2 linked regions of the Daphnia pulex genome follow. The protein of the gene in region 2 interacts with the protein of the main gene of each other region in a pairwise test. Links are inferred from orthologs where the notes say so. Each region holds a gene or a part of one and is shown on either strand. Other genes may lie near its edges. The genes, in order: caspase-1-like and baculoviral IAP repeat-containing protein 7-like.

What was found.
Region 1: the proteins of baculoviral IAP repeat-containing protein 7-like (region 2) and caspase-1-like interact in binary tests that used the Drosophila melanogaster proteins (3 or more experiments, as listed by UniProt). The link is inferred for Daphnia pulex from reciprocal best matches to the Drosophila melanogaster genes Diap2 and Drice.

The regions. Positions count from the first base shown.
Region 1 is NC_060028.1:7,606,889-7,610,505, forward strand, and holds caspase-1-like, read right to left. Parts: upstream 2,400-3,617; 5' UTR 2,213-2,399; coding exon 2,142-2,212; intron 2,063-2,141; coding exon 1,800-2,062; intron 1,736-1,799; coding exon 1,560-1,735; intron 1,487-1,559; coding exon 1,354-1,486; intron 1,265-1,353; coding exon 1,014-1,264; 3' UTR 798-1,013; downstream 1-797. Other genes in the region: uncharacterized protein LOC124208790, read right to left, coding at 2,772-3,253, 3,340-3,591.
Region 2 is NC_060023.1:3,932,862-3,937,221, reverse strand, and holds baculoviral IAP repeat-containing protein 7-like, read right to left. Parts: upstream 3,052-4,360; 5' UTR 2,977-3,051; coding exon 2,739-2,976; intron 2,681-2,738; coding exon 2,519-2,680; intron 2,458-2,518; coding exon 2,260-2,457; intron 2,203-2,259; coding exon 1,764-2,202; intron 1,695-1,763; coding exon 1,198-1,694; intron 1,125-1,197; coding exon 1,060-1,124; 3' UTR 826-1,059; downstream 1-825. Other genes in the region: uncharacterized protein LOC124198279, read right to left, coding at 85-224, 319-406; loricrin-like, read left to right, coding at 4,001-4,009, 4,069-4,150.

The sequences.
Region 1 (3,617 bases), on a different chromosome or scaffold from region 2:
ATGTTTTATTTTGGCCAATAATTGCCAGGTTTGCAAACGGGTTTTTTTTCTAACGATCTTTTGACGGTCCAGCGGTGAAATAATGGCCTCAAGTAGAGTACTAATAGCTAGAGCCAATTGGAACGGGATATCCTATCATAAATGAAGGGGGAGATGGCTGCTGCTGCTGGTCTGCCTGCTGTTGCCTTGGAGATATTTGTTTGGTTTCTATTACGTTTTGGGCTACCGGTCTAAAGTCGAAAAAAAAAAATCTATTTATGGCGGAATATTTAAAGCCACACCCGTGGTTTTCCAACAGAAAATAAAGGGGGAAAAATAAAAGTTAAGAGAGAGAGAGAGAGACAGTTCAACTCGGATATCTGATCGGAATTTTAGATTTATGGAGACGTTGGAGATGCCCAACTGAGCTCATGTTGCCTGTCCATATTCCCCTGTTCCTCTCCCCGCAGCTTATTTGTAGACGATAGGGGGGGGGGGGGGCCGGGCCAGCAACGACGGACAAGAGAAATAGAGAAGCATGCAGCATTAATGAAGAGACCTGCTGATCAAAATGGACTGTTATAGGTAGAGCTTAAGAGCTCATCCACATTTTAAGTCCTCTTTGTTGGACACTAAATCCACCGGCCGTTAGTTTTACAGCTCTGCACTGCCACAAAAGGAAGCCCCTGCAACGGCCCTTCATTCATGAGACGGACTTGTAAGTTAATCGCTGACCATTTCCAAAAAAGAAAAAGAAAACGTGAACACGGTGTCGACCTCGTTTGTTTCTCGAAATAACTTGACGCCCAGTCCGTCCATTTAACCGAAATGGTTTGCCCGTGTATACAAACGGCTTCGCATTGCATTGATACAAACACAGCACTTTAGCAAATAAAAAAGTGAGCAAAGTATTGAATTGTCGTCTGAAAGACTTACTTGATGAGATAGAAAGTGCGATCGAACTTAAATCGTTGTGAAGAATTCTTGATAAGGAGAAGAACAAGGCAACATTTTCTTGTTTCGTAGCTTTTCAATCAAATACGGCGAGTCGTCTTGCGCTTGAAATAAATTTTCCGAGTCAAGAGACTCGTGACGCAGGGAATTTGCTTGCGCTGGTGCATGTTCGAGTCTTGAGGCGTATTGGATTCGAAGCCGATCGAGACTATTCGAGAGACGGTCGTCATCAAGGAGAGTAGATCGTCTTCTCGGCCGCGCTCCGACAGCACGTAGCACAACGCCTGGACGAACCAAGATCCGTTAGTCGTATTGCGCCAGGAATAGAAACCTAAAAAGGCAACCGGGGCGCCCACAAAATGGCAATGGAGTAAGTCATTGGGAGTAAATTAGGTACGTTTTTCACAATGTCATTTTTACCCGGAACAGTTGAATACGCAATCAGGAAATCCGCGTGAGTGGGTATTTTGTAAGCCACTGCACTGGGCGAATCGGTTTCTGTGACTCTGGGCAACATTGTTGTACCTGCATCCAATCTGTCCCCCTGGCAAGCCTTTTCAAAGTAAACCATAATTAACTCAAGGTATTTGGGGACAGTGAAGTCCATTTTTTTAAATAATGTTTACCTGAATAAAGAAAAGCTTTGGTTTTCCAGCCAATGTGGGACATTGGTCAGACGTAAAGTGGGACCACAATTTTTCAGGTTTGTACTGCTGGTCTTTGGCATACAATATGCCATCATCACCATGGGACATCAATGCAACGAGAACACAATCGTGTTCAGAGTGATCCTCACTTGCCACTGAAAAAAAAATCACAAATAAATCAAAATTGAAAATGAAATTCAACTATGGGAAATTGCTTACATTTAATTATTTCAGTATTTAGTTCATTGAATGTCAGATCATTGAAATATGTGACATCAAAGTCCAGTTCCCTCAACCTCATGTACAGGTTGTCTCTGTCTTTAGATGTTCCAGCACGTGGTTTTAAATCAAGATTGGGGTTGAAGTTTTCGTGATTAAAGATGCAAGCCTTCCCTCGCTTCACATGATTCATGTTATATGCTTCTGAGTCACGATCAACAGGTAGGAAAGCAAAGCTGGGAAGGTCGGTATTCAAGCCAGGCCTTCAAAGACAAAAAATAAATGTGATTAGTGATTACTTGAGTGTCAAATAGTTTCAAGCCTTTCTTTTTTTTTACTTACTGTTTGAATTTAACATCAGGTTCATCATGTTTTGAACCCAATTCATTATTCTGAATTCCAACTTCCTCCATTTTATTTTACAAAACAATATTATGCCACTTGTTGGTTAGTGTTCAGGAATGACTCAACCAAGATGACTCAAACAGTTTTATACTATTTAGCAATAGATTTTTTCACAATCACAGTTTACTTGACAGTTCCTATCTCTGTGCATTGATTTTAACGAACCTGCCTCTGCCTCCTTTATTCGAGTTGAAAAAGACATCAGCGCAACCTACTGACGAAATGACCAAGCAGTTTCCCGGACGGTTGGCGGGTTGGAGCAATCTGTTTAAAAAAATAAATAATTTATAAAATGATTTTTTATCTTTTTCTAGAATCAAGGGATGAATCACTTAGGCTATGGTGTGTTGAACTCCATAGCAACTGCATCGTAATGTTAATTGCGAATGCATCTCATTCCTTGTTTGTTGTTTCCAAAATGAGAAACTACAAGTCTGGCATTTTTTGTTCAAATAGTTTTATTGTTAGAAATCAGCAAAGAAAGTCAATTAGTCATTTTCAATCGCACAGTAAATAATTTCTGTCTTGAATTTTAAATGAACATTTTCATTCCGAATCATGCAATCATCACACCATCAACGTTTTTACAAACTGGGAAATGTCTTCCTCGAGCAGGAAACCATTAAATTGGCTGAATGGACCATTCAAAGTCGTCCCTGGTGTTAAGTAATCAATTTCTAACCAGATTTGATCTCCCTTATTCAAATTCAACGTTGATTGAAGGGAAAGGGTTTCATCTTGCACTGTGGCGCTGATCTCGTCAGAATAACTCCTTGCAATTCGATCCCCGTTCTTATACAAATAAAGATAACAATTCTGTATTGTCGAAGATCCCGTAAATCGTATCAGTCCCGTGAAGGAGAAAAAGTACTTGCCCGCGACCGGTGCCGTGAATTTGCCTGATGTAAAATTCATGGCTCCTCCCACGTTTAGTATTTCAACGTCGAATGGAATAGGGATCTTAGTTTCGTTAAAGGTTACGTTTCTTTGAGCGTAGAAGTAGGTAGGAGAAGATTTAACATCCGCGTAACCGATCCACGTCTGGAAACCTGCAAATTTGATTATGTATTACTATGTAGAACTATAAATCGTTACAAGTTTACAATACGTGAACTTGTATTAAAGAAGCTCATACCTGAGTCAAAGGGCAGTTTATTAAAATCGCAATAAACAGCTTCAATCATTGCTCTTCCCATAACGGAATATAATCCACTCAAGGTGTGCCCCTTTCTCCACAAATCTTCGCATGACTTTGGCATTCCAGTGACAGTCACTTGTCCGGTACATTCAAAACGGCCAAGTGTGTGGACACCTGATGAAGTCTCTAGTTGAGTTCGACCAAAATTCAGCCGAGTAATGGGCAGAACAGTTTTATCAGTAATGACTCCTGCGTTTGTTAAAAATAGTTGGTCG
Region 2 (4,360 bases):
GAGAAACTTGTTAAAAATTTTAAGTCTTTAAAACTTTCATCCGGTAGGATCCCACTCATTCATTCATTATAGGCTATATAGTACCAGGAATTGACTAATACAATAGAAATGAGTGCCAACAAAGTAGCAATCTGCCTCTCCATGATTGCTAGACAAGTTTCCAATGGGTAATGGCCGAGGAGGAAGAATTGCTGATCCATTGCCGAGAACGATTCTTTTAAATCCTGATTCGTTCATGAATATCATATAATTACAAATGGCATCCTGATTTCATCTTGATAATAGAGAAGTAAGTACATGCACGAATGAGGAACTTACTATTTGATTTTTCGAGGTCACCATGACTGTCCGACCTGATCGAATGAACAAGGAGGATGAAGAAAACCGCCGCCTTGGGAGAACACATTGCCTGCTGGAAATCAAATACCGTTATTCGTTAGTGGCTACGCATATCAAATTAACAAGTGGGTTACACTCAACAGTTAGAGACAGTAGGCCTAATCACATCGATAAGATATTTAGGAATGAAGGCTTGTTTTTGTCTACTGGCAATGCACACAGCGAAACGAACGCGTTCTTTGTTATTGCGAATCTTAACTTTTTTTAAAATGTTTGTTTTGTTCTGAAATTATGTTACAGACCTTACTCTAGGACGTGATGCTTGGTGAACACGCAAGACTTGACTATTGGCCATACACGCACTCGCACCTTTAACATTCAACTTCCTGTTTCGGTTGAAAAGAGACCTTCACGGTTTCACGGTTGAAGTGGCCATCGAATACCAGAAGCTTCTTGCTATCACTGAAATATTTCGAACTTGAGTTATTTGAGATTTGAATAACTTTCCGTTTATTTTTTAAACTAAAGCCGGTGGGTTTGCAAGAACATTTGCAAGAATTTAAATAATAAACAAAAATCCATACTAAATACTTATTAACAGTGGAATTTTTTAAATTTACAAGTACTAAGTTGTTCCAGAACTTAGAACTGTACTTCAGAAAATATCTATAGTTCGTCTTTGCGATCGCCAATTCATTTAGACGAATCCAAATGAACTACTTAAGACAAGAAGATGCGGACTGTTCCTTTAATATTTTTTCGACAAAGAGGACAGTGTTCGAGAGCTAAAAAAAAAAAAAAATTTATTAAAACGCTAAAATTTTAGTAACATTATTTGATCAAAATATTGTAGTTTACCTGCCGCGCATTGGACACAAGTCACAATGTGTCCACAAGGAATATATGCAATTGACACTTCCTCGTCAAGACATACTTTGCAGAGACGAGCTTCTTTCAGGCGACGAATCTCCTCTTCCAAAATTTGGGCTACAACAAATAAAATGTTGGTCAAATTAATTATTTCAAAATGTCTGAAAATTAATACATTACTTCTATCGACGGATTGTGTGGATGTTTCACATGAAGCTGATACCTCTAGGGCACAACTTTGTTCTTTTATTTTTTCAGGATTTTCTGGCTTACTAAGAGTATCCATTTCCCGATGCGAAAGCGGGGTTTCAGATCTTACTTCCGAAACCAATGGTACAATTGGTACGTTCTCATTGGTATTTGTTCTATGTTCATCGCTCGGTGTACTTAGAGAAACGGGAAGTTCTACAAGGGTATATCCAGTTGATGTTACACGTCGACGAGAAGAGGAAGGTACAGCTGACGGCCAGTCCACATCTTCATAGCTAAGAAGGGTGAAAGGAATCAATGAAATGTCTAATTCGAGTTGAGAAGTGAACACGCAAAAGACTTACTTGCCATCTTCCAACGACTGGCGATGCTCGCTGTGATGCTGAATTTCAATAGCTGCCTCAAGAAGCGAATCAACTGTGTTGAAAGGCTGCCCAGTAGTACGAATTTGGTATTTTAGGGCCTGCCTAACACGAGAAAGGTCAACGCCCATTGCTAGAACAGTCTGAACTATGGGAGTTCCTAGTAAACTTCGCAGATCAGCTTCTGAAGCCTCTCTTGGTGAGGCACGTGAATTTCCCACTGATGCCGACAGGGAAGGCTTGGCTTTAGGATGATTGGACATGGATTCTGTCGCTTCTTTAATGTACTGTTCTCCTTTCATCAGCATAACAAAGCGACACTGAGGGAACCATCGAGCGTGTTCAAGCCATGGGTCGTCTTCTGGTTCCCAGTTTCTTAAGCCCGATCCACAATGAAAACAATTGACATGATCGTTGGTCCCTAAATCCATAAATTAAATTAACAAAATAAAACCAGAATTTTTTGTGCTATTTGTACCAAGATGGAAGAAACCAGATAGAGCCATTGCTCTTGGAGTTTGCTTCAGGTGGGAAGGCCAGTTATTATAACTTTTAAGTCGTGCATCCAAAGTAGCATATGAGGAATACCGAGGTCCGCTATGTTTAGTTATGCCCAACTCTTCCAAATTTTCTCCTACTAATGCATTCAATTGCATACTGTCTGGAGATCTCAATTCTATGAAACAAAATTGTATTGTAAACCAAATAGATAATGAAGTAATTAGTGGTTGTCATACCAGTGTCTGGTGAGGCATTTGGTCTAAATTGTGAAGTAAACTGCCTGGTAGCTCCAAATCCTATGTTCAACTGCTGAGGTACAGGTAGAGAAGCAGTTCGTTCTACATTCAGATGTACAGTGGATGGATTTTCACCCAAAGGTATATTACCTACTGGTAAACCTAACCAACGGACCACAAATTAATGTCATATTGCAATTTCCGAATTTAACAGACCAACCTAATATGAAAGCGCACGACGGAAACAAACGTTGATGCTCTCTTCTTGGGTCGTCATTTATTTCCCAATCTCTAACCACTCCTCTGCAGAACGCGCATTGAACTTGATCGTCAACTCCCACATAGAAGAAACCGGCTTTAGCAAGTAAGAGGGGGCTTAAAAATGTGGCAGAGAAGTGTTCGTTAAAAGTTCGCAAACGAATATCTTCTCGTCTAAGGGTTATCCATTCTTGAGGCATGATGAAAAAAGAAAAACAGACACGACGTCAGTAATACTGACACCATTGTGTCAAAACAGAGCAATGTGACGTTGCCAAGTATTTGGACTTTGGATATTCTGTTTTTAAGAAAAATAAAACTTTGTTTTATAAATGTTAGTTTTAAGTTTTGTTAGTTTTGTTAGTTTCTTAAGTTTTTTCTTATAAATGATTAAAAAAAGAAGATTACAGAAAAAACTAGAAAATTTGAATAAAATATGAAAGCATGACCTGATAAGCTTTTCAATGATAATAAAAGTTGGACGAAATGAGCAGTCTGTCAAATTTTTTGACGGTCGTATTCTCATCAAGAAACAATAGAAACAAACAATGATAACGGCTTAAATTTTGAATGGACTATTTATTTTGATTCGGACACAAACGGTTGATTCTCGCATCTATTTACAGTGAATGTTGATGATCTATTCACTTCAAACTCAAATTTATTAAACCATTTCGGAGGGAGACGCCGACTTTCAAACAAACAAACGACGAACTGAATGTCGAAATAATTGTTTGTCGTGTTGAAGATGAGAATTCTCATTTCATCATGAACGCGCATAAAAAAGAGAAATCGAAATGTCCTTACTACACCCCATTCGAAGGCGGACAATTGAAAAAGCGAAAGTGTTTAATGCCTTAAAATCTCATTGCTTTTGCCGCTGTTGATGTGATTGTGCCGCAGCAAAGGACCGAAAAGTGCGATCTTAGGTTTTTGTTGCCCTTTTTTGAATCGAAGAAGGCCCTACTCCACTTACTTATTGAGCCTCAGTCAACAAGCGCATCGTCGCGCTCTCTCTCACCCTCCAATTCTTTACTGTCATGAAGTTTCAAACACGCAGAAAAAAAGAAAGAAAGACCAATAGAAAGATTTCAGGCAGTGTGGTCATTAGTGGCGAAGACCTGGTGAAGACGTATATAAGGAGAAAAGATTTATGACTGAAAGCAGACGCTGAACTGAGCTGAAGACTTGAACACATCTAGTATTTCTTCTCAAGTAGTAGCAATGAAGAAGGTAGGCAACTAATATACTTGTTATCAAATTTTAGTTACATAACATTAAGATATTTCCAGGTTTTACTGTGCAATTGCCTTCTCATGGCAGTCATTGCCATCAGCCAGACGGATGCATTCTTCCTAAATAAGGGCTCTTCAGGTAAATCATTTTATAGCTATTCTTGTCGTCGCTCAAAAGTTACTGTTAGTGCCTAAATTTATACCACTTGTGTGCAACATAACTCAATTTCAGTAGTCATAAACTCTTGGCTGTCCCGTTGTAGTTAAGGAGTTTTGACTCTTATTTAAATAGGTAAATTGCATAATTATTTGATCAAGGTAAAATTTTCCATGCTACAGCTTGTTGTTT